3 linked regions of the Drosophila melanogaster genome follow. Changing the gene in region 2 together with the main gene of any one other region gives a genetic interaction. Each region holds a gene or a part of one and is shown on either strand. Other genes may lie near its edges.

The links.
Region 1: of insc (region 2) and egl, changing one suppresses a phenotype caused by changing the other (phenotypic suppression), as found in Drosophila melanogaster (one study listed by BioGRID).
Region 3: of insc (region 2) and pdm2, changing one enhances a phenotype caused by changing the other (phenotypic enhancement), as found in Drosophila melanogaster (one study listed by BioGRID).

Annotation. Positions count from the first base shown.
Region 1 is NT_033778.4:23,741,358-23,752,149, reverse strand, and holds the start of egl (egalitarian), read left to right. Parts: upstream 1-5,320; 5' UTR 5,321-5,950; intron 5,951-6,965; exon of another isoform or gene 6,966-7,052; intron 7,053-7,535; 5' UTR 7,536-7,647; coding exon 7,648-7,813; intron 7,814-10,792. Other genes in the region: CG11300 (uncharacterized protein), read right to left, coding at 1-201; CG12491 (uncharacterized protein), read right to left, coding at 992-1,465; CG34105 (uncharacterized protein), read left to right, coding at 2,298-2,771; CG13560 (uncharacterized protein), read right to left, coding at 4,006-4,551.
Region 2 is NT_033778.4:20,830,054-20,840,604, forward strand, and holds the start of insc (inscuteable), read right to left. Parts: upstream 5,976-10,551; 5' UTR 5,617-5,975; intron 2,366-5,616; exon of another isoform or gene 1,731-2,365; intron 341-1,730; exon of another isoform or gene 318-340; coding exon of another isoform or gene 1-317. Other genes in the region: sktl (skittles), read right to left, coding at 1-317.
Region 3 is NT_033779.5:12,651,546-12,662,319, reverse strand, and holds the start of pdm2 (POU domain protein 2), read right to left. Parts: upstream 5,156-10,774; 5' UTR 4,247-5,155; intron 2,069-4,246; 5' UTR 1,855-2,068; coding exon 1,389-1,854; intron 1-1,388. UniProt on the Drosophila melanogaster protein: DNA-binding regulatory protein implicated in early development. Involved in neuronal cell fate decision. May act as an octamer-dependent activator of transcription.

The sequences.
Region 1 (10,792 bases), 2.9 Mb from region 2:
ACCAGCAGCTGGGGATGCTGAAGGTGGTGTTCCAGTCGCTGGGGATGGTGAGGGCGGTGTTCCAGTCGCTGGAGGTGGCGAGGTTGGGGTTCCAGCCGGTGGAGATGACGCGGGTGGGGATCCTGCCGCAGGTGGAGAATCGGCGTAGGCAGTTGCTATTAGGGCCAAAAGCCCAAAGGCGATAACGAATTGGCAACGCATCTTCAGCTCAGTTTGTCACTAAATGGAGTACTGTGTGGATAGTGGTTTAAATCCGAGTATTTATAGGGATGATCCACTTGATTCGCTTTAATTGTCGAATCTGTGTTTGCTTTGAATGTTTTAGAGTACATTTTACGTTCTCGTCAAGACAAATAGATTAAACTCAATAAAAAGACGAGACTATCTTCTCTGTAAGCGCGAAAGCTGTTGATGGCTGTGGAAAGTTCTAATTCGTTAGTAATTAAACAAAACGGTTTTTTTTTGGATTGGCTGGCTGAACGTATTGTTAGCATGTGTGCAAACACGGTACATTGTTTATTAAATAGATGAATATGTATTGTTAAGCCTTTTGAACAGAAAGCCATATTTAAATAACCTCTAAGCTTAAATAAAGATTAAGATGGCATATTGTACATAAAGAATGAATTCTCACTAAAAGAAAACTTAGAACAAACTCCTATTTTTCACTTTCATTTGCAAGTTCCTAATCGATTAAGTTATCATCTGGAATTATGTCTGCACTTAGACCAGTTCCACTTGATCAACTAACTAGATCGGAAAATGATTTACTTAGGATTCTTCATTAGAGTATATAGTGTAGCCTTCTTCTTCTTTTCCAAGATGAAACCGAATATTGAATTTCTTTGTTTGACTAACAATTCGATCCAAATGATTTCACTTGTTTTTAAGGTGCCAAGTTACCAAGTCATAACTACGATTGTTGCTTTTGTGTATGCATTTATTTTTCAATTTGGACCATTTCATTGTTCGATCGGGTTAAGCCGATGGTTTATCCCCTACGTTGGCGCCTTCTTCCAGCACGACTCTGCTGGCGCCTTTCCTGCTGCCTCTCCCGGCGAATCTCCTGGCGCCTCTCCTGACGCCTCAGCCGCCGGAGCCTGCGAAGCCTGCGCCTCAGCCTGTCCACCTCCTCGCTGTCGGAGCTCGTGGAGGAGGAGGACGTGTCGCTGGACGTGGAGGGGGCCGTGGTTGTGGCAGTCGTCGATGAGGTGGAGGAAGTGGGCGAAGTGGAAGAAGAGCTGCTAGGAGTGGAGGACGAAGTAGACGTAGTGCTATTGCTGGACGGAGTTGAGGTGGAGGACGAAGAGCTGGGTGTCGAACTTGAGCTGGAAGTCGATGGAGTCGATGAATTGGAAGTGGGTGATGTGGAAGAGGACGAGTCGCTCGAGGATGAGTCGGTGCCACCATAAACGGTCGCCACGAGGACAACCAAACCAAAGGCCAGGACGAATTCGGGTCTCATCTTAAGCTCTGTCTGTTGAACACTGTACTCAAGTACTATACAGCATCCAGATCTGTGTCTGCTATTTATACGATCTATCTGGAGGGGTTTGGTCCAAAATCTCAATCTGTGCGTCGTCTTAGTTTGATCTTAACATGTGGCATTTGCGGCAGTGTTTTGTTGAACAAGGTGTGGAAAGTTCCTATGTTTGTCGAATCTACAACAGCAATGGAGCTTCTATTTGCGCAGTGTTATTTTTAGTGGATGTGCCAATACGGCTCAAGAAGAAAGTGCTTAACTTAGAGGATGTTTAATATAAGAACATTTAATATTAAGCAAATATTAAGTGCTCTATCACATTTATTGATGATTAAATCTTTCTTTGAATAATAATATGCTGCTTAAAAGAGAACACGAAGTGACTCTGCTTGCATTGTAGTATTCATTTTAGGAAAGCCAACTTGAAGGATTCTGGGTAGAATGGCCACTTTACCCTTCCTTATCTTACGAACTGATTGTTCCTATTGTATTTAGTTATTTTATTCAGAATAGTCCAATTACCTATTTTTGCTTAGTCACTTCTTAGTCAAAAACTATATTTGTCTAGTGCCTGTGCCGTAGATTGTTTCAGAAAATCAACAACTGCTTCAATGTTTAACTTCCCAACAATAACCTTTCCAGCTTTCCAGACGTTTTCAGCAAAACACTGGGCCACGTGCCAGATGCTAAGATGTAAACCACCCACGGATTGAGATTTTGGACCAAACCCCTCCAGATAGATCGTATAAATAGCAGACACAGATCTGGATGCTGTATAGTACTTGAGTACAGTGTTCAACAGACAGAGCTTAAGATGAGACCCGAATTCGTCCTGGCCTTTGGTTTGGTTGTCCTCGTGGCGACCGTTTATGGTGGCACCGACTCATCCTCGAGCGACTCGTCCTCTTCCACATCACCCACTTCCAATTCATCGACTCCATCGACTTCCAGCTCAAGTTCGACACCCAGCTCTTCGTCCTCCACCTCAACTCCGTCCAGCAATAGCACTACGTCTACTTCGTCCTCCACTCCTAGCAGCTCTTCTTCCACTTCGCCCACTTCCTCCACCTCATCGACGACTGCCACAACCACGGCCCCCTCCACGTCCAGCGACACGTCCTCCTCCTCCACGAGCTCCGACAGCGAGGAGGTGGACAGGCTGAGGCGCAGGCTTCGCAGGCTCCGGCGGCTGAGGCGTCAGGAGAGGCGCCAGGAGATTCGCCGGGAGAGGCAGCAGGAAAGGCGCCAGCAGAGTCGTGCTGGAAGAAGGCGCCAACGTAGGGGATAAACCATCGGCTTAACCCGATCGAACAATGAAATGGTCCAAATTGAAAAATAAATGCATACACAAAAGCAACAATCGTAGTTATGACTTGGTAACTTGGCACCTTAAAAACAAGTGAAATCATTTGGATCGAATTGTTAGTCAAACAAAGAAATTCAATATTCGGTTTCATCTTGGAAAAGAAGAAGAAGGCTACACTATATACTCTAATGAAGAATCCTAAGTAAATCATTTTCCGATCTAGTTAGTTGATCAAGTGGAACTGGTCTAAGTGCAGACATAATTCCAGATGATAACTTAATCGATTAGGAACTTGCAAATGAAAGTGAAAAATAGGAGTTTGTTCTAAGTTTTCTTTTAGTGAGAATTCATTCTTTATGTACAATATGCCATCTTAATCTATATTTAAGCTTAGAGGTTATTTAAATATGGCTTTCTGTTCAAAAGGCTTAACAATACATATTCATCTATTTAATAAACAATGTACTGTGTTTGCACACATGCTAACAATACGTTCAGCCAGCCAATCCAAAAAAAACCGTTTTGCTTAGTTGCTAACTAATTGGAGATTTGTCATTTGTCCCTGGCTTTCTAGCCAGAGCATCACCTTCAGGTACGTCAACCCAACCGGCTGATCCACGCCCACTTCGCCTAGAGGCAGTGAATCCAGCAGAAGCCGTGAGATGACCAGGTAGCGTTGGGTCCAAGGACTTTGAGGCTCTCACGGACTTTCCTATTTAGCAGCTTATGGACTGACGATCTGTTGATATATTTTGTATGATTCTAATAGTACTGTGATCCGATAAAATATCTTTCAGATTGTAACGAAAGCTATCTTGTGCTCGTTTCGAATTTTTTTGGACTGAATCGTAAACACTTCGTGGAATTAATTATCTTTAGTTCTAAAGCCTCGTGAGTTTATTTCGAAACAAGGTCTCATATATGTTCTGCATACTTTCCGGGCGTTCTGTACTTTAGGAAATTCGTTACTACGATAGTATGAAGCCGAGTCACTAGTTCAGATAGAACCAAATGGAGTGAGAAAGCTATGCGAGCTAAGAAAGCTTGCTGGTACATGCTGTGATTCTGTGGAGGACTGAAAACATTTCTCTTATGGTGTCTTAAGGTATGCAACACAAAATTGCATTCACATTTATATCTAGGGTTTATATTGGTTTTTCATGTAACAATTTTATTTGCATTGAGTTACAATGTCATGTGAGTTGGGATTCCCATTTCAGCCCCGACGGCGCTGCTGGCGCTGGCGCTCCCTCCTCTCACGGCGTCTCTCCTGGCGTCTCTGACGACGTCGGTAGCGACGACGCCTCTCCTTGCGGTTCCGCTTGGATGACGAAGAGCTACTGCTGGAGCCGGAGGATGAGGAGTCGCTCGGGGAGGTGGACGTGGTGGGCGATGTGGAGGGCGAGGTTGTGGAAGGAGACGGATTAGTCGAGGATGAGCCAGTTGAGGTGCTGGGGCTGCCAGAGGTGGTTGATCCCGTACTTCCGGTGCTGCCAGTGGCCGTACTTCCGGTGCTGCCTGTACCCGTGCTTCCGGTGCTGCCAGTGCCCGTGCTACCGGTGCCCGTGCTCCCGGTGCTGCCAGTGCCCGTGCTACCGGTGCCCGTGCTCCCGGTGCTACCGGTGCCCGTGCTCCCGGTGCCCGTGCTCCCGGTCCCCGTAGTATCGGTGCCCGTGCTGCCGGTGCCTGTGGTATCGCCACCAGCATAAGCGGTCGCCAAGATGGCAATAAGACCAAAGGCCAGGACGAATTGGAATCGCATCTTTAGCTCCGTCCGTTGAACACTGTACTCAAGTACTGTACTTTCTCTGCATTTAATTAGGGTATTTATACGCATCACCCACGATTTTTTTGGTTCATTTTCAGACTGTGTGTTTGCTCCGAATCATCATCATTTGCCGCACGTGGCTTAGTAGGATATTCTTGAGACAATTTGGCCGATGACTATCGAAAATACATTTGTTTGAACAAGTCAACAATGGGGGAATTGTGGATTTGTTAGATCTAGTTTATTCTAAGCAAGTGTGCAAACACAGGCAGCTCGGGTATTGTTTTGAGTTCTACTGAATAGCTATTCAGCCATTCTAGCAGTGCTTTAGCACTCGGCCTTATTTAAATAACCGCAAAACAGATGCGTGTTTGGTTCATAGAGATTTTGAAGGATGTATAAAAATAATATAAGATAGCAATGCCTTGAACGCAGTGGAGTTCGAGTTTTACTAAGGTTCAAGAGATAGGCTTATGGCGGGATTTTGACTCTTTAATGGAAGAGGTTCGTGTGATTAAAGCTGAATTAATAATTACTGAACTACCATAAACAGTTCTAAGGAATCTATACAATCTTTCAAAATGATTTCGAAATCCAATTTCGAATCGAAGCGAAACGAAACGGTCACACTGCTTAACAGTCGCGCCGCGAGACGTTGCCACCCGGCTAATAAAATACCAACGTTGCCGCTCAGTGGTATTCCCGCCTCGGCCGTGCACTGGCCACACCAGCCACCGCCTTCGCTTCGCCGCCCGCCATCCAAATTCGATTCGTTGGTGTTTTTCGCTGCGCTGGTGTTCGTGTGTTCGCGTTGGCGCTGTCATCATCATATCGTATCGCATCGCTCCGCTCCGAAAACCGTGGCAATTGTCTGTTTTTTTACCTGCCAGCGAGTGCGTTTCAGTTGCCCGCCAACCGGCAGGAATCGCAAATTCACGTGCGCCACTCTCCAATTGGACGAGTGCCTTTAAAACAGTGCAACAAGTGGTTTTTACAATTCTTACCAGCATTCAGTTCAAAGTGCCTAACAAACACACGCACACACATACGTAACCTACCTGACCAGCGCGCATATGTGTGTGCATGAGTGTGAGTGATACAACAACAATACAATAGCAGCAACACAGCTACGAAAATAACTAACTGCTTTCGTCGCAGTTTTTCTGCAAGTGTATGGGTTAATTGCGCCGAAAAATGTTAATTAATTGAAGCCCAATTGGAAATCGCCAGTGGCAAGAAAAGCTGAAACTAAGATCTGAACGCAGATCTGGTGAGAAATCCCAAACGCGAGGATCTGTATCGCGTGTGTGTCAATCGGTTTAAATATAGATCAGATCACAAGTGCACTTAAACAAACAGAAGGGAACGAAACAAACAAGTGATTAACCGACAGGTAATTACAGCTGCTCTTCTTTTGCATATTTTGCGCGTTTTCTCTGCCAGATATTATTCGCTTCTCCTTTATTGTTTTACCTTTCTTTCGCTTCTAATAAGACTCTTCTTTTTATCGGTGTGGCTGGAGTTTCTTGTTTTGCCACCCATACAATCGCACAAATACCTGTACAGCACATACACTCACACGCGCACAGTTATTGGCTGATTGGAATGTGTGTGCTTTGTTGTTGCCGTTCTCAATACATATTTGTTGTCAACGGTTTCTGCTTATCAATTGGAAAGCACGAACACAGCTACACCTGCACTTCTTATTGGCTTGGGCAGCCCTCCTGTTGGATAACAATAATGAGTGGCAAATTCTGTTCGGCCTGGCGAAAAATAGTAATATGCACTCCTGGGAGGGAGCTGGCGCTTTTCATTTTCCATTTCCGCTGCACATTTGTACCTTTCTTTCTGTGTCAATCACCTGTTCTGCAGCGCTGACACTTTTCACATGCCAATCGGCGGCAAAAATCAGAGGCAGCAACAAACAAATTAAAACGTGTTATATATACCCTTAGTCCCGTCGAGGTGCCAACTTTTGATCGCCAACTTTTGATTCCCACCGAATTCCATTCGAAAAGTCCAACCAAATCCCATTGTGCTCAGAGTCTTATTTGCACTAATCCCATGCAAATTCCAATTGGCGCGTTCCCATACAGACCAACATCGCTAGATAGAAAATCGTCTGGCGATCTTACGGTAATTTGATTTTGTAGATTAGCTCTTGCTTTTAAATGAAAGATATATAGAGCAGATATATTATGATTATTTACTTTCGATTCGATGCTAAGTAGTAATTGTGGCTTAGCGAGTTTTCACTGTTTTCAGTCACCGAATCTGGCGGTTTCGAAATTCTCAGCTGGCAACACTGATGCCAATTCGCCGTGACGTGGACTCCTTCTTTCGCCGCACAGTCAGCTGGCTGAATTCGCCGGTGTTTATGTTGTGGGCGCAGGAAGCAGGAAACTGCCAGTTGATTTCAAACTTTCAAGCGGCGCGCAAGGACATGCCGCAAGAGTACGGAAGTCGCAGCTCCTAGGAACGGTAGCAACTCCTTCGTACGTGTTTTACTCGCTTGAGTCTGTGCTCCTCAATTATTCACGAAGCAAAACAAAGTTTATGGCTCTGCAACTGCCCGCCGTTGCCTCGAATATTTTCAACTAGTGCAAGGCGAGCTACAAAAACAATGCAATGGCATGGGACAAGTGTCGAGATAGCGAGTGAGACGCACATAGCGTGCAGGAAAGAGAGAGCGACAGTGGCAAAGTGCAAATGTATTAAATAAATAACGAAACGAAGCTGTACAGAGAGAAAAAAATCATGTTGATTATGAACCATCGTAGAGTAAAGTAAAAGTGGGCATGCGAAAGATTTTGAGTAGGGTAAACCCTTGTTTCTCTCAGTGTCATCTAATATGTGCCTGCGGTTTGGCTACTTTCTGCCCTGTCTTTTGCTTTTGGCCGGCTTTCTTGGCGCATTGCATAAGTGTTGGCCATTTCACCTCACTAACGCTCTCCCCTTCCTCCTCCTTCTACCCGCAGATAAGCAGCCAACGTGACGTACTCGGGCGGATTAATAATTGAGCAGATAGCGGATAGCAGAGAGCAGCTAGCAGATATCAGATAGCGAATAGCGGACACAGCAGGCCCAGCAATGGAGTCCATGGAGTACGAGATGGCACGCAACATGACGTTGCTCTTCTTCCTGGAGCGACTGCTGGACAAGGGCGAGCCCCGCACCGTCCACGACCTGTCCTGCCAATTCGGCAACAAGGAGTTCACCAAGGAGATGCGCCAAATCGCCGGTGGCAGTCAGTCGGGTAAGTTCGCACTAACTAAGCCAGCACTTAGTAACTACACTTCGCAACAAGCAAATCCATATAGCCAAAATGCAACTGAAATAAAAATGAAGAGGCCTGCTATATTGATTGAATTGAAAACAGCTCTCTTTAATCAAAAAACTGGATCGAATAAAGTCAAGGAAAGTGCGCTGAAAATGCCGTGGCATTCAATTCATGCTCTCATTTGAAATGTCGCCAGCCGAGCCTGGGAAATTGGAAACGTGTGCGGTGGAAAGCGGTAGTGTACAGTGGACATTGGACACTGAACGGTGGACACTCTTGTTCGGCTGCGGTACATACATATACAATACATATTTGTGCACCTGCGGGTTTGCGTTGTTCGTCACAGTCACAGTCGATGATTGTGTTGTTCATGTTGCCTTCGAGTGGTCGGCGTCCAAGTGCACATGTCATTGCCGTTTCCATTTCCATTTCCAATTGCAGTTTGCCGATTGCCAGTTGCCGCAGGGGAGTCAGTCAGTCAGGCCTCCTCATTTTCCATCTCCCGGCTGATCTCAATGCCAAAAACCACAAAAACATGCCAAGGGTTTATCGCCTTTCATTGCAGCCGCCAAGCTGCAATCGATAATGCTCCACCCTTGTGTTTTCCACAAGTGGTATGGATATATGGGTATGGGGGTGTTGGTTTACAACTGGTCTACGAAAAACAGGCAAAGATTCTCGAGATTCTCGACTTGTGTACACGTGTTGTACTTCCATTGACAAGTCGGCACATGGAAAACTCTGGCCATGCTGTTTATCAAAATGCACGGTTAACTAACGCGAGCGACTAAAAATAGACGCAACAAACAACTTTCGGTTTTTATAAATAGCTACCACTTAGTTGAGAGTTGGGAGTTGGGTGTTGGGTGCTGGGAAGGTGCAATGCACTTTCCCTCGAGGCGAAGATATGTGAACACATTTGTTTGATGTTCTCACTTGTGGAGAGGAGGGTTTTGAAAAAGAGCCACAGGAAATGGCACGCATTTGTTTACTCCGCACCTTGGGGATTTATAGCAAATCATTAAGCTACAGCGAATCATCATGAACTTGAGTTTTATGATAATGGTCTTATGACATCGCTAATTATAATAAAATTAAGGATGTACTGCATAATTTTTATAAGATTTTTGTCAGTATTTTGTGAATAAAATAAAAAGTAGTTGACCAAATGGGGAATGTCCTACCTTCCTGAACTCGCAGTGAAATTCCCTATCGAGTGGTATTCCCAGCTAGAAATGTTAGATTTCGACCATTTTTTGCAAAATTTGATGATGTAACCCCTTATAAAAAATGCGAAAAATGATCAAATTTTTTAATTCTGAAAATCGGCAGGAAAGTGATAGGGATCTTTAGTTTAAGTAAAAAGCTGCACAAAACGGTCATTACTTTCGCTGGGCGATTGTTTTTAGCCAAGTTATGAGCTAAGACCTGTTGGAGATTATCAACTTTTGGCCATAATCGTGTTTAAGACAAGAATTACCCATACTGCTCTTGCTTGTCACACTCTTCGACTTCGACTTGGCTAATTGCAACAAGAAAACAAACATTTAACAAAATGTTTATCACATTTGTTGATTTTTTAGCCATGTGCGTGACTCTGCCGCCAAGACAAATGGTGTTTACCTCGGGTGAGCAACATTTTCGCCGAAATACAATAGTTTAGTCTGTGACTTAAAGCGCTGGTTTTACTTTTGGCCCAGAACGCAATAGACAAGTTGGAGAAAGTTCAGGGAAATACGCGGCTAACACGCAAATCGCAGCTGGATTAGAAGAATAGACTGGGAAACTGAATTAATTGAATGGGAAATGTCAAGGTCTGGCTTATAAATAGAGAAGAGTGAGTTGCGCATTCCCGAAATTGGATGTTCCAAGTATGGAACCATCGAGCCAACGTTAAGCAGTTCCTTGGCCAATGGCATTTCGATCCATTTCGGCCACTAATCCCGGTTTTCATTCCACCCGGGACTGACCTAAAATCCCACAAACATATCTTATGCCTCTTCAATTTTGTCAACGTGTTGTTTGCCCAACTTATAAGCCGTTAAGGCCGATGGGTAGCATTTTGCACCCCCGCCCACAATAGTCGGCCATCCAAGTCAGCCATTATGTGGTTTTTGGCCAGGAACGGATTGGGGGATTGGGGGAGTGGCGGAAACTTTGTAATAGAAAAGTGTCGATTACGTGACAAAAATGTTCAATTGAAATTTCAATAAAATTGCATGATATTCTGGGGACTGAAGACCACATCCATTTGTTGCTTCAATAATAAATGGAGGTGTGTGTGTGCCACCATGCATATTCCCCAGCGATTGATGAGGGTTCTCTGGTGGGGAAACATCTCCGGGAAATTAACGTTGAAAGCAATTTTCTAGCCGGGCAGGAGGAGAAACTCGAACGGCGTTTATTGGGTTAGACAAACAGTTTTGGAGAGTTTGCTAAACTGAACTGAAACTCGTTAATGGCGAGCTTAAATTTCGCTGCTAATTTAACGGCCTGCCAGAAGTAAACACAACCATTTAGCCCAGTTTATCGTTTTGCCATTTTGACTTGCCAGCGGCTTTGAATAATTGCACACACACAAGCAGCTGGGAAAAATAGAAAAGGCATTCGCACCAAAAACAGGCCAAGCCTTTTGCGAAGGTTCGCAAATGTTTTTCTCTGTGTGGGTTTTTTAGTTTATTTTTTTTTTTCGCTTTGCGTAATCGATTGCCAAAGCAAACAAAACACACGGACAGGCAAAAGTTGTCAAAGCAAATGAAATAAATACTTAAGCTACACAGAAATCAATTTTGTAACTAATGGCTGAGTTGGTTTATTTCGCTATGCGAAAAGTAGAAAATCAAGATAGAGTGCTGTCTAAAATTCAATGGAATATAATCACAAAACCTAAGTTGAATAACATACTTAAATCTATTGATTATCAACTTTTAACCAAAAGTTGTATAGATTGCCTGA
Region 2 (10,551 bases):
TGGGTGGCGGCTATGTTGTTCAGTTCCTGCTGCAGCAACGATGTGGTCTCCTGGCCTCCGTGCGCCATAGCGGCATCCCTGAACAACTGCCGAGATGTTCCCGGCTGCAGGCTCATGGGTGGTGGGGTGCTGGGCGTGGCCTCCTGGTCGGGACTTGCGGTCTGAGCCGGGGGAATCTTGACCGGCGTGAGCAGGCTCTTGTGCTCTTGCTCCAGCTCCAGCTGGTTTTCCAGCGGTTCATTCTCATCATCCGGCTGATCCTTTAGCCTATCCTGTTTGCCAACCGGCTCCAGTTCCAGTTCCACGCGGGTGTCCATTTCCCTCTGGGGATTTCCGCTCTCTGCGGAGGAGAAAACCACTTATTGCAGTGCCGCTCAAACAGTACAAAAGGCATTCAATTGCAGCTCGATTAATGGGCGTATGTATGTGGGTGTGTTTATGTGAGTGTGTTTGTGAGTGTGGAGTGGATGAGTAAGTGGGCTTGAGTAGGTGAGTAATCGATTAAGCCAGAGGCAACAATTGTCACGTTCGCACACACATATCTCTCAGTAACACTTTAGTACAACTCTCAATGTGGTAACTCGAGACTTTGGAGCACCTGTTGCTTATCTTTTGTTTACCCAAATGAAGAGCGGCTACAGCTAAAACAACAACAACAATCACCAGCCAGAAGGCAAAAGTAATTAGCCCATGGTCAATTAAAAGCTGCGGACTCTAAAACTGTAAGTTCTTGGCAATAAAGATAAAATCACAATTGCGTGAAACCGTATGCAATCGCTCGAAATTGCAAAATGCACCTGAAAACTGGTAAGTAGACAGCCGAACCAAAATTTCGATTGTTTGCATATGGGAATTCCAAATAACCGGCAGACACGTTCAAATGCATAAATAAACGTACAACTGCACTGGGAAAAATTGTGTTGTCTCAATTTTGAATACAATTATCTTAGTGAATTTTTAATGTGCAATTTGTCAAAGTTCTGATATCCATGTTCAAGCTTTAATTTCTACCAGAGTGTATGAAAATTTAATAATATTATCCGTGGCTAATCTATTTCTTTTCCAAACACTTCTCTATCCAAAAAAACAAATATTTTCTCTATCTGCACGAACAAATGGGAAACGTTTGCTGAAAAACACAAACAATTAAGGCCGAAATCCACAAAATTATTATAGGAAAGTCATTATTTTGTGTGTGGCTTGTTGTATTTTGAAAAATGGAAAATGAAACCAAAACATGGCCACGATGGGCGTGGCAGGGGGCGCATCATAAGTGGGAGGCCATTCAGCTGGCTCGTGTGTGTTTATTTTCGTAAACTTTTAGATTGTCGCTCGGCGGATATGTCGGCGGCATCTCCTATATATCTTTCCTCGTGTCTGTTTTCCTTTTTTTTTTTAATATTTATCGCACGCATGACACGTCAAATAGAACAAAAACAACAATAATTGTACGTTAACAACGGAAAGTTTTGCCAAATTCAGTGAATGAAACTAAACTAACTGAAATGTGCGAGGCTAGTTGCTTTATTAGCAATAACGTTGGATCTTATTTAAATGGAAGAAGTCCCTCTAAAGTTAATAACTTGCCACTTGACCCTCGTTTTTGTGGTCGTTGTTGTTGTGTTGCTGTTGCTGTGGCTGCTTTTGCCTTGGGACCATTTGTTGTGAATTATGAGCTTGCAATTATAGCGTTTTGCCGTTTTTATTTGTAATTTAATTAGCGTACTTACACAGAAATGCTCGAGGGAATAGTTTGCTAGAGGTCAAAAAAACCGAAAGATATCCAGCGAAAAGAGATAATTATTTGCCCTCGGCTGTTCTCTACTCCTCTCCGTCTCCCTCTCTTTCTTTCAATCGGCACCTCTCTTTCGCTCGCTTTGTGTATTCGTTGATCGGCTCAAGGCGCGTTTATCTGTAGCGCTTTCTCTGTCGCTCCGCCGCCGTCGCTGTTGTTGTTTGTGGCGTACTTCCTCCTTTTGCTTCCCCTTTTATCCAGCTCTTTCGATTTCCACTTTCCGCTTGATAAATTGCTTTCATAATTTACAACAATATCTCAACGAATTTGAATTCTCCGTGCACACCTGGTTTATTGTGTGTGGTGTGTGCGTGTGTGTTTGTGACTGAGGATGACGTCGTCGTGCGGCAATCTTGGATATTCCTCATCGAAGTGCCGCATTTTGCATTTTCCCACACCCACTTCAATCGGCGATCGTCGTCCGCCAAAAGTTAACCCGATTTTTCGAGAGCCTTCCGCTGCAATGTATCCACTCCGCGAACTTTAAAACCAGGCGAAAATCAAATATTTCTCGGCAAGAGAAAACTGTTGATGAGTCGTTCGCGCAGAAGATTTTTACGCGTGTTATCGTTTATCGCTTGCGCTGGCGTTAGTTAATTTTGTGCTGCGCGGTATATTTTGCGGTATTATTTCATTACATTGTTTTTTTTTTTTACCTTCTGCTAGTTTCCAAGTTTCCCACCACGGAGAGAGTCTTTGCTGATCAGCAACAAAGCGCAGTGTTGTAAAGTGCCACGTACACTTGTTATAAAAAATTTTTAATTCTGCTATAAAGTCAGTTACAATGCAAACTACTTGTGTTAAAATAAGTGAAAATTGTTCGGATTAGTAGTTTAAAACTATTTAAGAAAAACATACAATAAAAACAGTTTTTATTACTATTTGCCTAAGCTTCGTTACATTTCAAGCAGCTTGATTTAGGATTTAAGATCGAAAAGCGGGCCGTGCGATTCATACTATATTTGGAAGAGAAATGTGTGGATATCTAGACTCAAATAATAATTTCAATTTTTTCACAGGAATTGCTTTGCGGCCGAACAACACCAATCTAATTAGGGAACACCTACAAAGACGACTTCCCAGCCGACGGCGCAATTCTAATTGGATTAGCCAGCGAAGCCGGTGAAGAAGGCATTTCAGGACCCTCTGCCCTTGACCACTGAATTTTTCTGTGGTTCGTTTGTCTCATTACCACCTCCCCCTGCCACGGCACGCCGTTTAAATTGATTGAAAAACAGCCCCTCAATCGATATTTATATCTACATGGGCCAGTCATGAGTAATTCTGCTCATTAGTAGGCAAAGGCAAAGTAATGTAAAAAATGTTTAGCTAACAATCCGGTTTCCACGAGGAGAAATAGCTGAGCTGAGATGCGATGAGTTAATGAGGCTCACAAAGTCACAAATTGCACTTAATTGGGTGTGTTGCATAGTGTAGAAATTGATGTATTGTACATTAAATTCGTGACTAAGAAAATAAGACAATTTTCGAAGTTCGTTGTACTTTTGCCGGCTAATTAGGCACAAAAGGCAGTCGAAATTCATATGCAAATGCCTAATAGAGTTGTCGCCAAACAAGTTTGCGACCAAATAGAATTCTAAAGTCTGCGACAATCTGCCAATTAATTTAAAAATAGAGACAAAATAATTTATGCACTTCAATCTGCGAAAACAGAAAGAAATCAACGGAACTCTTTGCCATATCGCATGAAGATATGATAATGGTTCGTTATCGAAAGCATTTCATAATAAACAAATCAAGAAAAAAAAAAACAGAAAAAAAGCGAGGGAAGCGTGTTGAATAACAAATTTAAGTTCTGGTCAGTTTAAAAGGTACGAATAATGGGAATTGCATCGCAAAATTCAACTGAGAACGGCCAGCGAAAATACAGAAATTACACAGAAAATGTTAATCATGATAATTAAGTTAATATGCGGGGTGGTTAAGTGTTAACTGAACTTGGCTCATTGGGGTCAGCCGCACAAATTGGACACAAGGTGAAATGGGGGAAAGTTGAATGGGGTGGATGGGGTAAATTTCCCCGCTCGTAACCCCGATTAATTAACCAAAAGTTACGGCCCAACCAGATCAAAATCGATTGGACAAAGGCCAGAGCATTGATTAATCCGGCATCCAGCATAATTATTTTAATAGTTTTGACATTTAAACGACAAATTAAAATGGAATAAATGCAAAATAAGAGTAATAAATTTTAATTGCTTGCCACGCCCCTTCCGCGCATCACTTGCGCCCACTGGCAGCTGTTGCATTGATTATAATGAAATTATTATTTATTTATATCGCATCTTTGCGCCATTGCATAATTAATTGTTGTCGTTCGAGTGGCAAACAATTAAATAATAAATCAGTTTTAAACAATCATTTAATTATGTAAAAAACTGAATGAACGCATTAAAACCGTGCAATTATTCAAGTCGCGGCAGCCATAATCCGTTCAATAGAATCGACCATTGTTGCAAAATGTCAAACTGACACATGAGTGAGCAAAAAACAAAGAGTTGCAAATGGTTTAGCAAATGCAATCGACGAAATGTTCCATTTCGCGACATTCCCTGACATTTAACCGACCTGTTCGATGGAAAATCAATAAACTAAGCCAAATTAAACGTTAATCCCACTCAAATGGACAATCATCATTGCTTTGGCATTTCCCATCTAACGGTAGCAACATATCGAACTGGCATTATATACCACTGCTGCTACCGTCGACACCAATTGTCAATGATATCGATCTCTTGGCCGCAACAGGTGAGTGACTTCCAGTGCCGACTGGTTTCCACGTCCAGACGTCCAGGTAATAACACCTCTCCTGATGACCGCCGTAATGGCCGGTGTTTAGCACTCTAATGGAGCCATCGAGACCGCAGAAACGCTCTTAAACTGGAACTAGATCAGTGAGATTATGCGGTGCTCCCTTGATTATTGCAATTAGGCGCGGGCAAACTGAAATTAGGGAAATCTGCGAAACACCACAATGCGGTGAGATTGAAATCGTGCCACTGATATATTCTGAGGTTTCCAGATGAGTCGAGATAACAAGTATTCGAGGTGGCGAAAGCCAACTTCTTCAAATGCATAAGCTGATTAAAATGTAAGAGACCAACCAAAACATTCAAAGAAACTTAAAAATCTTCTTTTAGAAATGTTTTTTATTTCAAGCTACATAACTGGATATTTTTGAGGACTGACTGGAATGTTATTCAATGTAACCCATTCACAACTGCCTTAGAGGTGACTCTTTCCTAGCCAGCAGACTATCACATCTGTGTGCACACATTTCTTTACCCAACCCAATTAGCGTTATCCAATGCTGGGGGCTTAGTCACCAGCACCCCCAGCTCATTCATTCCCCATCAACCTGATCAGTCACCTTAGCCCACTGCCTCCCCCAATTATACGATACATACGTATCTCAGGCAGTTATGTATCCACTCCGGTATCCCCAAGCGCACGGATGACTCATTTGTGGGATCTACGTTATAAAGAACATTCGGAGAAAAGCGAACGAAATCAGTTTGCGGTCTGACGACTTTGACTTTGTGAGGCTCCTGAGTCATAAAACGCGGCTTAGCGAGGTCCTCGAATGAGCAAAAATAAAAACCATCGGAATTTACTTCAATAAATGGGCGGAGGTACATAAATATATACATATGTCTGTAGTTTGTGATTATGTGAATTAAGGCATGTGTAATTACGAGGGGCGTATGCGGAATCGTATTGAATATTTGTGTTTATTGTTAAGCTTATTGGGGTCAAAGCATTCCGAATGTGCTTTACGGTTTATTGTGGCCAAAACTTACCGCTTTCCTGTATAAACAATGCCGAGGTAATCCCAAGTTTGGCTTATGCTTTTGTTGTTGTTTCGGCCGCCACTGATGGATAGTAAAATGTGTATTTCAAGCACGTGTCATTTGATTACTTTTGGGCACCACAAAACTTGACAGTGCGTATGTGTAGTGGGTGGCTGGGTGGTGGGGGTGCTGCACCCACAAGACAAAGCGTAAATAGTTTAACACTGCACAACGGTAAACACAAGTCGACACGACACTCAACGAACGTGGTTAACCCGAACGATACGAAAACAATGATCGAACACAAATATCTCGCGACGATCGCAGCGGTTGCGTCTGCGTGCTTCGACTGCTGGGAATCGAATGAGCGGCTACAGTTGGCGACTTCGACTCAGACTTCTAATTCCCGGGGTGGGAGAGCAGTAAGCCGGAGAGTCGGAGTCAAATTACCTGGGTGAGTAAGGTAGGCAGTGCTGGCAGCTTGACTACTTTCTAGCTAAGGATATCTAATACAATGTTTTAATTGAGTGCATACTTTGAATTATGTGTCTTAAGGTACTGAAAATTAAAGTATTATTAGCTGCTATTATCAGTATCAAGTTTTTATAGGTGATCATAAATCAAATTGAGCATATATCAGCATTTCTAGCTCCTTTAATTGTGAATCTGGCTAACTTTTAGCTACACGGGGTGTGTTATCAACATGGTGCGCTCTCACCTTTCTCTCTTTCGCTCTCCCTATTTGTTTAATAATAACGGGCATAATGAAGAGCATTGTTCGCTTTGTCGCGTTCGTTGTTGTAGTAGTTGGTGGTGGTTTATGCGCTTTTGTTGCTATTTCTTATCACTCACTCCTGTCTTCCCTCTCGCTCTTCTGCGCCAGCTGTTCCGGTAGCATTTTCAAAGGTGCGATCTCTCGCTATCTCTTTCATCTGCTACGCATGCGCAGCTGCCTGAGATTTTGGATTTTTGATTAGGTTCGCTTGTTATTGTTACTGCGATTTTGTGCGAATTTTGGGCGCAATTTTAAGGCAGTTATCTTTTCGTTTAGACTATTTCAACCCTTTGGTATTTCCGTTTCGAAATTTGTTTGATGACTTGCGCAAGTTTGAACACTTCTGGGTGATAAGATTACCCGAAACTTTTAAATGCCCTGTAAATAAAGCCCATTCATTCATGAACGCTCGTGGCCATAAAACGAAAATGTGCCACAAATACACAGTGTTACACTAAAAATTATGAGCAATCGACAGCAATTAGGCAATTGAACAATTTTGCACCAATTATTACAGCCATAAGAGTTCGATCGCCCACCCGTTCGTCGGTGAAAATAATTAAGAGGAGCCCACGATGTGTTTGCTCTTTTCACTATTGCCAATTTGAGATAGTTTCCAAATTGCGAAACTAACTGAAACAATAAGCAAAAGCACAGAGCCAAGTAAGCAAATTAAATCCACAAACAACTAATGAACAAAGTGCACTGAAACTAACAAATGAAAACAATGTTTCGCTTATGAAGGATCGAAATTCATAGAATAAAACCAATATTCAATACTGTATCTCGTTTAACATCTGTTTGCTATTGACACCTTTCAAGAAATTTTAACAACGCGTAGCAATAAAAAAAAAAAATGACAATAAATGCCATTTTCAAATGGCTATACAAATAAATCGTGTCCAAACCGAGAGTTTTAAATCATTAACACAATGTAAACTAAATAGACAATCTGATTTGACTAATAATGGTTTGGGCCGAAAACTTTGAAAAGCACAATCAATTGTCATTTATTGACATTTGTTTATTTTATTTGCTTGCTGACAGTTATGCCTAACTTTTTGTTTATATGAAATGCCATGGCATTGACCCCCAAACTTTTCAGTGTGGAGCCTCACAAAATGAGACAGTTCTGGGGAGCTAGAGGAGTTGGAGTTCAGAGTGCACACGAATGGAATTTCGCCCCATTCGTTGTCAATGTAATTTGTCAGTTCAAAGACCCCGTGCAGCACGAGGACTCCGATTCCAACTACAACTAGTTGTCGTGCCATCCAGCCAGGATGCAAAAGGACCCCGGATCCTACGTGCAAGATGTTTACATCGCGGCGTCGCCCTGACAAATGTGCCAAGTGTGCGGACGTGCGCCCAGGTCCCAGTTCCCAGTACCCAGTACCCAGTTTTCCAGCTCCCAGTTACCAGATCCCAGCTCCTAGCTCCTAGAGCCCAAAAACGCAGATCCCCGAGTCGAGTGCAGCTAAAAAAAATGTAATCAATGTATTTTTGTCACGTTAACGAAATGCACGAGCCTCGCAGCTCAGCTCAGTTCAGCCGGAGCAGCTGCCATAAAAGGACACTGAGAGAAACGTATCCACCTTAAGTGCAAGGAACACCATTTTGGTTGTTACATAGATGTGAAATTAAACAAGACCAAGCAAGTATGATCTTATCTTTAGAATATTTCTAAGAACTATAAGTTCTTGGCTTAGTTCCAAAACTAAAACTCATATAACTAAGTTAATTTTTCTCAGTGTAGCTTCACTTCCTTCGTCACCGCTCGAACAAACATAAATTGTGTCTGTCTTTCATTCTGTTTGTCGAGCTGCCTGAATTTGCACGGAGTGACAATAACAACAACAACATCCATAGTAAGTACTAGTATGACTGCAACTACAACTGAGCTACAGATGACGGAGAAGAATGAGTCGAAATGCCGGGCAGAATGCACAAAGGATTGTCAGGGAGAAATGTCACGTCGTTTGGCAGCAATTATCCCCAGAGCCCAATGAGAGCATTGACTGAGCGAATGAGTCCTGCGTCTGCGAAGGATTCCGGTTGAGATTTGGATGCTAAGACTGAGGCCCGAAATCTAGACGGCAGCTGCCAGACTTTGGCGCGAGCTACAATGCAATTGCCGTACAGTGAGCACTCGCTAAGGGTTGCAGATGCCGTGATTTACCTGAGTTCTGCGCACCTTTTCGCCTTAAGATGTTCAAACTATATATGTCAAGATACATTGGGAAAGCAAAATAACATTCGTTTAAAGACTGAGCTAAACTGTATTTCTCGACACTTCAAAAAGGATATTTGACACAGTTTCTTGAGTTATGCACATCAAGTTTGGTTCTGCCTGTTCCATAGTTCAATCCCATATAGCGCACATAGGTACTACGAGTATACATCCCTCCTTTCGGTGGCAGTGATGTGTGCCGTATGCCACGACTTCCTCCCCGAAAAAAAAGCAGAGCGATGAGCGAAGAAAACTTAAGTGCATTTGTGCCACTGCGAGTCGCGTCGTCTGCCAGCTGTCTGCACCCCTGCATTGCTATTGCTACCCCCATGTGTAATTAAGTCGAGCATTATTCGATATGCTGCACTGGTGAAATTTATGGGCACATGCATTTGCTGGCTATTTATAGACCGAACTAATGGCGCAGCGTTTCTGGAGTTCATAACCTTACCTATGCATAACTTCGTTTGCCCACAGTCGAATGTTATCGAACTGGCACAATGTGGATGGATTGCGATACTGTTCAATGGGCCAGTGTCGAAAGAACTCTGGATTTATTTTGACAAATGGGGTTTCTATAGGTTTCTATTTGTGTGTGCTGTTGATGATTAATGGGGCAAGCCAACTTGAGTGGCATTTAACTATCGCTGTTATCTAAGGCGTACTCAAATCAGCTAGTCCAAAGGCTCATAAAACTATAGTAGTAGATAACGTGGTAAACGCGCTGCATGCAGCCCTATGGCTGCAAGTATGCCGATAGTAACTCAGTTATGCCCTTCGTGATAATCACCAAACTTTCAGAAGTTATGCAATAGATTAAAAAAGACCTACATACCAAAATTCAAAGCTCTGCTGATACAAGTTTTAGTTATAAAGGGTTTTTTTTTTTTAATTCAACGCTCTTGCGGAGAATGAGAAGTAGTAGACTAAACTAAGAGTTAATTTAACCGCATATTCTAATCCACAGAGAGTCAGCTTAGCTCGATTTGTGCGACATATTTGCAGCATGAGTTCAAAGAGCTATCTGTGAAAAGAAAACAATAAGCAACACTCTCAGATGTCGTGAGTCACCGGCGAAGTTTCTGTGTGTCAGCGCGCAAAAGAGAGACGCCACAGATCGCGAAGTGATTAACTTCTGTATCTGAGACAGTCTGAAATTCACCTTTCGAAGTGCCAAGTTTGCGGAAATCGTCGGTATAAGGAGTATGGGTAAATATTCGATGGCTCGGATCGAAGCAGCGGAAACCCGACGCCTCCGCAGGCGCCTCAAGTTGCACTTGGCGCTGGCTCAGCTTTTTTTTTTGCGGAGCTGCCTTCCTTATCGCCGCGTCTTCACAGCTGAAGTAGAAGTGAAGAGCACGCGGCAGCAGTAAAGAAAATAATTTAACGACCTACCGACGTAGCGAAATCGAAATCGCGACTGTCAGAGAAAGATAGAAGATAGCAACAAGTCGCTGGGAGCCCGCTTGTTTACCTTGAGTTGAATGTTCGTGGCAGCGGAACCAGCGCGAAACTCTAAACTTGCTGCAGCAACTCTTATCAGCAACGCAGTGCATTGACATTGTTGCACTTGCTGTTGCTGCCGCTGTTGCTGTTGCTGTTGCGGTTCTATTGAGCGCGCGGTCAAAGGCTTTTCAAAGACTTCGCAGCAAACAAGCATTAGCTAATTCGTCTGATTCAACTTTGAATGGGGGGGTTCTGTAAGCTGGTAAACATAAAGCCGTTTTAGTATACATGACTTTAGGTACTTTACTTCAACTTGGCGTTGAACGAGAGAAGCTGCATCACGCTTATAGTGCTTTATTGAGTGGATTTTCTTTAAAAGAAATTCAGATATTTAAACGGAATTTCCTAGCTATAATTGTATGTAGGGATTTTGTTTTACGTTACTAGGGCTGCCCAAGTACTTGTTAAACAGCTTAATAGCCCTATTGTTTGTCCT
Region 3 (10,774 bases), on a different chromosome or scaffold from region 2:
GTTGGCTCATTTATGGCAAATTATGGCTCAAATCGTAATGGGAAGCTTGCTTCAGAGTCGGGTGATGGATAGCATCAAATGCTAACGATCTCGGCACTGAATGAATATCACGAATATCTAACAGAAAATCTAATCAAAGAAACCAACTTCGGTGAGTTACATTTGCTTAAATCGACCTTAATTTCCGGTCGCGTGTTGAACTTATTCGTTTTAGTGCTCCAACCCTTTGTTTTACATTAAATTTTTGATAATTGCGCACTTAAGGAGGTTCGATTTTTTGTGGGTTTTGCATGTCATGTGAGCATTTCCGAGCTGGACCAGAGGAAATGGATTTACATATGAAGATGAATGGTAATGAGTCCTATTTAAATTGGATATTGTGTAAATTGGGGTCTGGGGGCTCGGTTGGCTTTAAATAACAATTGAGGTCACGAAAAGTGTTTTCAAGTCCCCCGAGTGAGATCATCAAACGGCAAAATGGCAATTTCAATAATCGAAAGAAAACAAGATGTTGCAACCCCCTTTTTCCTTTTGGATTGAGCAGCAGGAGCAACAGGATGTGTGGCACCCTCTTGAACCCCTTGTGGTTCTCCTTGTCCTTGTCCCTTAAGACGGATGAAGTGTTTGACAACCCTTTCAATCTTCATAAATGTTCGCACTCGTGGCACCACACTCTGTTGCAATATTAGCCCGGGTCTGGGTCCCTTGTGTCGCATCCTTTTTCTCGGCTCTATCAAGATGACGACGACCCCTTTGCCAATAAAAAATGAAATCTGTTTCGATGCATAAAAAATTGAAAATCCCATAAGCATGCGTTTGGCACGAGTTTTTCTTTGGCATACGGCGCTTCGCCCACTTTTTGAGGCCTGTTTTTTTTTCGGGCCGAAGACCATGAAAAATGGCCGTGCTCTTGTTAACACGTTGTAAATACCTCATTTTTCACTTAATGGGTTTTTAAATACACATATGCATTTGTGTGGATGCTGGGCGGTGGGCTGAAAAGGGTTAACTCCTTTATGGGGTTTTATTGACTCAGGCGGGGCTTGCAAGGTGGATAACTTACAGTCGTTTAAATGGAGACTGAGAATAGAAAATATTATAATATACTATATTTAAGCACTAAAATGCATTATTTTGATTAAGGGGTCCAAAGGTAGTGTTAAAATGAGCGGTGGAGTATAATATATACATTTTAGATTTCTTAAGTGCTACAATTAATAGAATAAATGAAGATATTTAGCTCTTAATAACGTGTACCATCTCCTAAAGGCTTTGGCAACTCGTAAAAAACATTTACAACATTTTCATAATTTAAGAATACCTATGCATTTGCTTATAATATGGCCTTATAATATATGGCCATTCCGATGAGAAAAAGGTCAACTCACCTGAATTGGCTGGTGCTTGCTGGTGGTTCATGGGATGGCAGCTAGGCCTCTCTGGCGGCGACTCCATGAATTCCTGCTTGACTTGTATCTGCGGCAGGCGTAGCAATCCCTCAAAAGCCCGCTCGCTGGTGGGTGGAACTGGTGGGCAGTTGTCTTTAGGGTTAAAGCCATTCAAATGGCCAACGTTAGCGGCATAATTAGCCGGCAGTTGCAGTTGATCGTCGTTCAGAGTGGCTGAAACGCCTTGGCCAGTAATTTGAACATTAACACCTGCTGCCGATGTTGCAGCAGCAAGGCAATGAGTTGCTGCTGTCGGCGAAGTCAGCAACATGGTTGCTGTTGCTGCTGCTGCTGCAGTTGCGGCTGCTTTTGCTGTTGCTGCTGCTGCTGCTGTCTCTGTTGCTGTTGTGCTCAAGTGTTGATGATGGGAATTGTTGGCAAGTGTTGTTGCCAGCAGTAATGGCATAGTTGTTGCTGCTGCTGCTGATGCTGCTGCTCTTGTTGCCGCTGTTGCGTTGCAGTTCGTCAGCAGCAAATTGCGTCGCTTTGATTTATGGCCAACTCAACTGCTCCTTGCTGCCTGTGGCGACTTGTTTGCCGCTCCGGTTGCTGCCTCAGATTATGATATTGACCCATGGACCGCTGGCGATATGTATTCCTCCTTCTGCCTCCTTTGCTGCCTGCAAATGGGTTGATAATTAAAAGTGTCTTCTTCGGCTGAAAGCCTAATTTGCTGTTAACTGCACTTTAAAAAGCTGTTATTAAATACATAGAGCGCTGTGATCTTTACGACTCGATAGCGGAAGTAATTGATTTTTCCCTTAAAATAACTGACCCATCCACATTCCTGTACACGTGACTTTTCACGTTACAGGTGGAAACAGTGGATTTGTTTGAAATCGAACGGATGTTTGTATACCTTATAACTGAGATTAATTAGTTTAGTTTATTAACTGGCTCATGAGTATATTGCATTGTCAGCCCATTCTGCGATTACAAGTTTGTATTTTGATAAAAAAATATATAAGGGTAAAAGTTTAAAAGTTAATATTCTCTTCTAAAAGGTAAATGTAAAGTAAGTTACTGATTAGAAGTTTTACTGTACCTAGCATTGAATGAAAATGTTAATATGTGAGAAACTATATCATTCAGTTAAATAATTACAGAAATTCCATACCACTCGAAAGTAAACATGTCATAAAAGTACATATCGCAATTTATATAGTTTAAATGTTTGCTCTTTTAAATTCGTTTATTGAGCAGTCCAAACATTTCTCTAAATTTTCCCATGGCCTGTCGAATCAGCTCCCACAAGTGAAAAGTGGTTGTATACAACTTTACAGCAGTAGACACCATAAAAGGCACTAAAACCTAAACTTTGTATTATTATGCAAACAAAAAATGGGAGAATGAAAATGGGCACATTTACCAAATGTGGTTTGAAACGAAATTGTTGTAAATTGAAAACAAATTGAAGTCAAATGAGATAAGGAGTGGGTGGGTGGGTGTCGAAAAATCACGGCAAAAGGCGATGAAATCAAAGGAAATAGAAATGGGAAATTAAACTACAAGCGCAACGATCAAATGCCCCGAACAACAAGTCAACTTGGCCAGATAAGATACGGTGCTGAAAAGTGCAAGTGCGTTTATGGAAATGGTTATTTACATACATTACCAAACGGGTTTATGTACATATGAGCCACGAAGAGGCGGGTCGGGGCAACTAACATTAATGGCACTTGTAAACAAATCAATTGAGTTGTCAGTATCGACGGCAAATTGGCCGCAACCAAAGTGCCACACGAAGATTGTTTATCAATTTTGCCAGTCGGTAAATTATGTTCTTTGCATGTCAGCAACCAATTGCCAGGAATCGATATATCTGCCGGTATGATCAAAGCGAACGCCGACTAAATGCAGTCACTTATTCCTCGGTGCTACTTTCAATAATTCCCAATCGGCACGGTAATTCCTTATTGGGCCGACAATATCGGGGCTTTCGCTATTTTTGTTTAACTTCATCTTGTTTTAAAATTAAACACAATTGCTTACTCCAATTGGAAACGTATCGCCGATCATATAATACCGAACATTGCCATTGTGTTTGTCTTCAATTTGGAATTTGTGTTTTCATAATTTTCTATTGGGTGTACACGGTTCGGTTGTAAAGATACGAGGGAACTTAGTTCGATGATGTGATTTGCCTGACTTTCGGTTGAGAAATTGTTTGTCGTGATTATCGATCGAATCATTGCCAGAAGTGGAATTGTAAAAAACCCATAAAAATATATATGTGGCACATCTAAGATAGGGTACACAAATCACAGAAGGTTTATGAAAAATATATGGAATGGAACAAATTTAGAAAAAGTTATTAAACTATCCTTTAAATCAAATACTATATTCAATATATATATATATATATTGCCTCATTTTGAAGATAATTGCTTGTTATTAATACATTTTGCATCTTAATTTGATCTAACCTTAAGATTTTCCATTGTTAAAGATTTGACCAGAACATGGTCACAATTTTGTTATGATTAGCTAAAGCCCGACCAAGATCTCTATGATGGATTCAGTTCGCCCGTCCAACTACCATAGTCAGCCATATCGGGACACTTGTTGGCCCTCAAACACATATGGCCAATTAAGGACGCTGAAATACGCGCAGACACTTGGGAAAGCTCATTAGGAATCTGACAGGCCAGAAGAAACAGTTCTGCCCTCTCTCTCTCTCTTGCGGCATCTGTATCATCCATCTGGCTGATCCATCGATCGCATTGAGTGTGGGCGTTACAAGACAAGCTCCTTGACACACTCAGTGGGTACAAAAGAAAAAAAAGAGTTAAACTCACTTGGGCTGGAAGATGGCGCACCTCCTTACTGGTTTTTCCTCTACTGGTTTTCGCCTGCTGTCACGAATTATAATTTAATTGTTTACTTTGCCACACTTTTATAAATTGTAATTGCCAACGAGAATGGCGACAGCTTCACGCCCTTTCTGCATTTTCTGTGGGCCGTCGAGGTGAGGTGAGGTGATCTCTGTCTTTTGGGACAATTCTCCGAGACACGCTTTTTGATTGACTTCCGACAAACGACTGACTTAAAAAAACGCGCAAGGAGATATGGGCAAAAAGTAAAAAGTGAAAAAAAAGCAGACTAAAGAAAAGAGAAAGAGCAAAAAGAAGCAAAGTTCGCGACGACTTCCGACGACGTCCGACGTATCCACAAAATGTCAAGCGAGTACAAAAAATACTTTTTTTTTATAGAAGATGTTGGAGAGAGTGAGTGAGTGTGAGTGTGCCAGTGTATTGGTCTGTTTGCGATGTGCCTCTGTGTGTGTGTGTGTGTCTGTGGGGGTGGGGAAAGGGAGCCATAAAACAGGTGGAGGGGGTGGTGCGTGGGTGTTTTGGGGCGTTTGACTTCGTTTTTCTTTCTCTTGCTTCTTTTTTTTTACAGGAGGTTTTAAAATGAAAAGCTTGTATTGTGTGGGTGGAAAATAGTACTGCATATGTGTGTGTGAGTGTTCTATATATGTATATATGGGTGGGTGGCTCTTATCGGATTCCGAATTATGTATGTATTGACTGCCGCTGCTTCTGTTCGTTGAGGGAAGAAATAATATGGGGGCTCCTAAGTTGATTTGTAGTTTAGAGCGGCATGAAAATTTCCTCTTGAAGGGAATTGAGAAGGAGAAGAGGAGTCAGGCTCATACGAGTAACCGAATAAGGGTATACAAGTAATTCAGTTTGCAAAATATAATAAAATATATTAAAATTCTTATTGATTCAAGTACTGTTTCTCATCATATGATTCATTATTTATTCGGCACAAGATACAAGATTTTTTGATTTTTTTATGGCCGCTTATATACCAAACCGTTTTCTTTCTTTTATAAAAATAATAAGTTTTATAAAATAAAACATATAATACTAAAGCAGATGATTTTATGGGCAAAACAGATTTAATTCCTTTCAAAATCAATGTTCCGACGGCATTGCACTTGCCAGAAATCACAACACAACTCGCGTTACGCATACGCCCCGTGGACAAGTCGGAATATCAGCGAATGAAAAATGAAAAAAATTGACATTGCAATGATGGCAGAACCGAGAATTATTCGCCGTGCTGTCAAAATGCGAATGTCAAGGCAAAAAACGAACCAAATGCAGACAGATAGCCAACAGAATCCGCTGAACGGCGGCAAAAGGCAAAAAGCGATAAACGCATAAATTAAAATAATTACAAGAGGCGTCCTCAGATTATTGTTGTTGCTGTCACGCACACACAGCTAGTTGAAAAAATAAACAAGAAAAGTCGCGAGGACGACAACCGACAATCGGCCAACGGAGTGGCAACTGAAAAACTGCAATTGAATGCAACTTGACCAGGCCAAAGCATCTAGAAGAAGAGCAGTACTAGCTGAATAAATGGAAGAAGAAGCACCACAAGCAACTGTAGTAACCATACACTTACAAAAATTATATAATATATATTCCAGTCATTTTCTATTGTACCATTTTAATATTTAACAGAAATAAACCTTAAATTCTATATTTTATCTTAACAAATATTCACAAACACGTCTTGGTATAACTTAATTTGGTTTTTATTGTTACTCTAAATAGAATATATTATAATTTATACATTTATATATAAAGGTTCTAAGCGTATTTTAAATACATTTCTTTTACAATTATAAGTAAATTTATAATGTTAATAGGCTTTTAATGAAATTGTATTATAACCAATATATAAAACTTTTCTAAGTGTAGAATCAGTTGATTTTTCTCGGCAACTTGGGATCCACATTGTTGCAACAACGTAGTTGTTGCCGCTGTTGTTGCTGTTGATTTTATTCAAAATGGTTTGTTTATGCCTGAACAGAAAGAGAACGCAAGAGAGAGAAAGTGCGGAGGGAGAGGTAGAAAATCTTGGGGAAATATATCCAACAAGCGCGCTCTCTCCCGCACAAACACACTCACCCAAAGTGGGCAGCCGGCAGCCAATCGGCATGGAGCTTTGGCGCTCTCTTGCGGCGCATGCTCGCTCTTCGTGGGGAGCTCTCTCCATTTCGCCGTTGGCCATTGTGTGTGCATGTGCGCGAATTCGCCGCGGCGTCCAGATGCTGCGGGTGAAAAAAAGAGAGCGAGAGGGCTTTTACCTTTTGACTGCTAATTTCCGTTCATTAAAGTTGGCAGTAGCTTGGCTCGCTCACTATTCTATATGTTCCACTCCCCCATGCCGCCCCCCCTCAGTAGTGAGTCCTTAAAGATATTTCGCCTTGGCCGCAGCTTTAATTTCATTGATTAGCGCCGAGGAAATTCCCTTCTTGGCCCTTTTATTTTTGGTTTGTCACTTCTATTCACTTGTCTGCCCGTCTGCTTGTGTTTTGGTTCCTCTGCAGCCTCCTTTACATCCTCTTTTCCACTATTCTTGTTTTGTAAGCATTTAAGTTGTCGCTGTTTCGAGATGCTTAAATCCAACTAATCGATGGGTTTCGTCTGAAAATGGTTTAGTTTGTGGGGGTAGGTTCTGAAGAGTATGACCCAACTATTCACGGAGTAACTATTTGGTAATCAAAAGATAGTTATGAAATAAAGAAGTTGGGGAAGAGTAAAACTGATGCGAGCGTACTTTTTGAAGATTTTACTTGCAGCACTTGTGTGTACAATAGGTGTACGTTCAAAAAACCTATATAAGGATAATTGGTAAATAATAAAAACTAAAAAATTCTTCTTATAAGCAGTAAAAATGTAATTTTCTTTATTGATATGAAAAAAATATTGTTTTTGTAGCTCTAATTCATATGTTCTCAGGTGTTTACTTGAATATTTAAAAAATGTTATTTTTACCATATGCAGAACCTAACTAACACGCTCGAAAAAGTAGACAACCACCTCTTGAACTGTGCCCTTAGTTCTTCCATTTGGTATTCCACATTCCGTATACGCCCCATAAAACTTGAAAAAATCGCCCAGCCCCAAAATTTCATCTGCCTTCCCTGGCTCATTTTTCATATTGAAGGGCGAGCACCTAAGGACCAACCAACAAAGCTAAGCTGACGGGTGCCTAAGTTATGGTTCCTGCCATATCATCCCCGCGTTCTGTGGAAACTTTTTAGAATTTTGCACTTTTCCTTTTTTTTTTGTGTCGTGTGCTCTTACATATCGCAAACATTTCCTGTCTCTTTTTATTTACATTACCCACCGAGGACGAGGCGACATAAAAGTTGAAAGTTTCCCATGATGTTTATGTGTATATAAATGCTTGCGGGCGGTATTTGTTGTATATAGGGAAACAAAGAGGAGAAATATTTTTTTTCCTTTCCTAAGGCTGTATTTCAACGGTATTCTTTTCGTATTTTTCGTTTCGCAGTTGTGACTTTTCATTTTTCATATGCTGACTGCCTCACGAGCAAACACACACATGCAGGCGGCACACACTTACACCAACACGCAAACGGTCCTTTTTCTCTTTCTCTCTGGGGCTCTTAGTTTTCCATCTCCCTTGGCTTTCCTACGTTGCCCAAGTAAATGGCTTTTGCATTGTAAAATGTTGCATACATTTTCCTCTACTTTGCCTTCGACGTGTACATATGTATATTGTACAAATATATAACCACGTATGGCTGGCATTTACCGTTATACACGGGTGAAGCAGGACAAAAGAAGCTCACACACACAAGGCTCGCCCTCTCACTCGCTCACCCAGTCCTGCCCATGGTATATTTTAAAATTTATGAAAAATAATATTTTTCCATCTCTCCACGCTCGCACACACACACACACACACTTGTGTATATATAGGAGCCCTGAAGGAGTCCTGGGCCATAAGGCGCACAATCAGAATACAATGGCTGCCTAGGGCGCCCAGAGGGGGTGGTGCTGTATATACCACCGCCTTGAGGGGGCGGGTAGGTGCAGGGCAATATGGCACAGTTGGCTTCGCTTGCATTTACGTACAGAGTTGCAGGATAGAGGTGCTTAAGACAGGGTTGCCAGTCTAATAGAAAAGAGTAATGGCGGGATGTTTCTATATTTCGTTTTTATATTTGTTATGTATATATATATGAATTTTATAACACATCTTCACCACGACAGTCAGTCATGTATCTTTACAGAAATCTTTATAATCAAATAACTGTTGAAGATTTGAATTTGTTGCTAAATAGAAAATGTTGTTTCCAAGTAATAAAGAAACCTAAGTTCCTATTTATAGATATATAAATGTAATTAGGAATTGACTAGTTAAATCTGGATGTATTAATAATCCCAAGAAAAGTAATTAAAATTAATATAAGTATAATAAAGAAAACATAAAGTGTTTGTAGCCAAATTAAAGTGTGCATTCCTTAGTTACTATGTATTAATGAAATAAATACAACTGATATAAAATTCAATGAAATCCCCTAATTATTTGCTCGTTGGCAACCCTGGTCACTCAAGTCAAAAGCATTTCCATTATGATAATGTAAGTGCACAATTTTCCCAACTTGAATGCGCACACAGATGCACTCAGTCTGTCTCTCTTCTTGCGCCGTGCCTCTCTATCGCACGCGCACTCACAGTCCACAAGACTCGTTCATTGCGCTTGGAAAATTTTCATATCCTGGCTGGTGCACATGAGAGCATGGAACATGAAAAACTGCACAAATGTGCAGAAAATGTTGCAAAACTACATGACCTGTGGGGGTGGTGAAAATGGGGGCTGTGTGCATGGCAAACCGAAAAATAGAGGTCCTGGTAGCAGGACAACGAAGCACTTGCACATAAAATACGATAACGTTGGACCAAAGTGCTACATATGAAAGGTAGTGCTTGGTAGTGCTCCCCATCTTCGGCTGCTCCACTTTTCCGCCTTGATTTTACCTCCCTGCTGTCACTCTACATACACAAGTTTTAGAGTATAAAAGGCGTTGCCTTGTCCTGAAGTGGGAGGTCGTATATAATTACGCTTGCTCCCTCTTTTGCACCTTAGAGAACCTCCCCACAAATGCATATACGAAATGGAACTATAAAACATGATGGCAGCTTATATAAGCCAAATATTCCCTCTTTTTTTGCCAGCCTCACTGAAACTTTGGCATTTATGCCATAAAATGAAGTATGAAATTGAAAAATCGCTCACAGACAAGTACACACATCAGCGCAGGCCCCTCAATATATTGTGAAATTAATTTTTAAATATTTATGAGACCGAACCGAACTGTACCAAAGGCCACTCGAGCGTTGGAAACTTTTCTATATTTGTTTACGTTGGCATGAGAGTGGCCGAAAATACGTACTAAGCTCGAAGGAGGGGATTTGGTAGGAGATCAAAGCTATTGCCCATTTTCAATTTTGATCAATTTCTTCCCTTTTTTTTATTGAATTTTCAAGTGGAGTGTGCTACAGTTTATTTTGTAGTTTCCTTTACATGAAATGTGGGAGAGAAATTTCATTTCGCTAAACAGAAGGCCGCCACAGGGCGTATGAGTAATGTGCTTTTCGTGTTTACGTTGGCAGGAACTGAAATTGAATTTAATAGGAAAATTACTCTTATTTCCAGGGTAAGGTTAAAAAAGGTGTGTTTAAATTTATACTTTTCTCACTGATAAGAGTAGGAACGGCAATCAATTTTATAATTGAAATGAAACCAACAAATATTTATTCTTTAGTATATATTTAAATGTACTTCTAGAGAACATATGTACATGTCACATATTATTTATTTTTTATCTAACCTTTTTTGTGCACATTTAGATTTTAGATCATAAGAATATCTCTTCAGTTTGCTCACAACTCTTTATCGTATAAAAGTTTGATAGCGATAATGATGCCACGAGTGCAACTCCGCCTTGACCAAACTGATTATGATAATAGTGCGTGATCGAGTTAAGCGCGGAAATTGCTACCTTTTTTATAAGCCATTCTCTTGGCCTTTTTTCAGCTTTGCTTAATAAGCCCGAAGAACTGGGGCCTTAAGAGGTCCACAAGCCAAAAGTCGGGCACACAATCTGGAACCGTGTTGGTGCCTTTGTTCTTGTTGGAGGCACAAGTGCTTAACAAGCTGTTTTGCATGGGGCCAGATCTCTCAGGTGCCCTACGAACCAACGAGCCACCAAACCAGCGAACCACTACCAAAGCCCGGTAGCCCTGAAACAATGCACTTAATGTGGGAAAAAACGTCAAGAATTTGCACGCCAGCCCGTGGACCACAAGAGAATTCGCCAATTTCCCTCGGTTCCTCGTTCCTTCGACCCCAGTTTTTTCATATGCAAAAAGCCTGCACTGAGGCAGCTGCAAGTTAAGCCAAAACTTTATACCCTTTCAAGCATTTTTCTGATAGGGATTTGTTAACGAATACCAAAGTGAAGTGGCTTGCCTTTTGGAATATCAAGT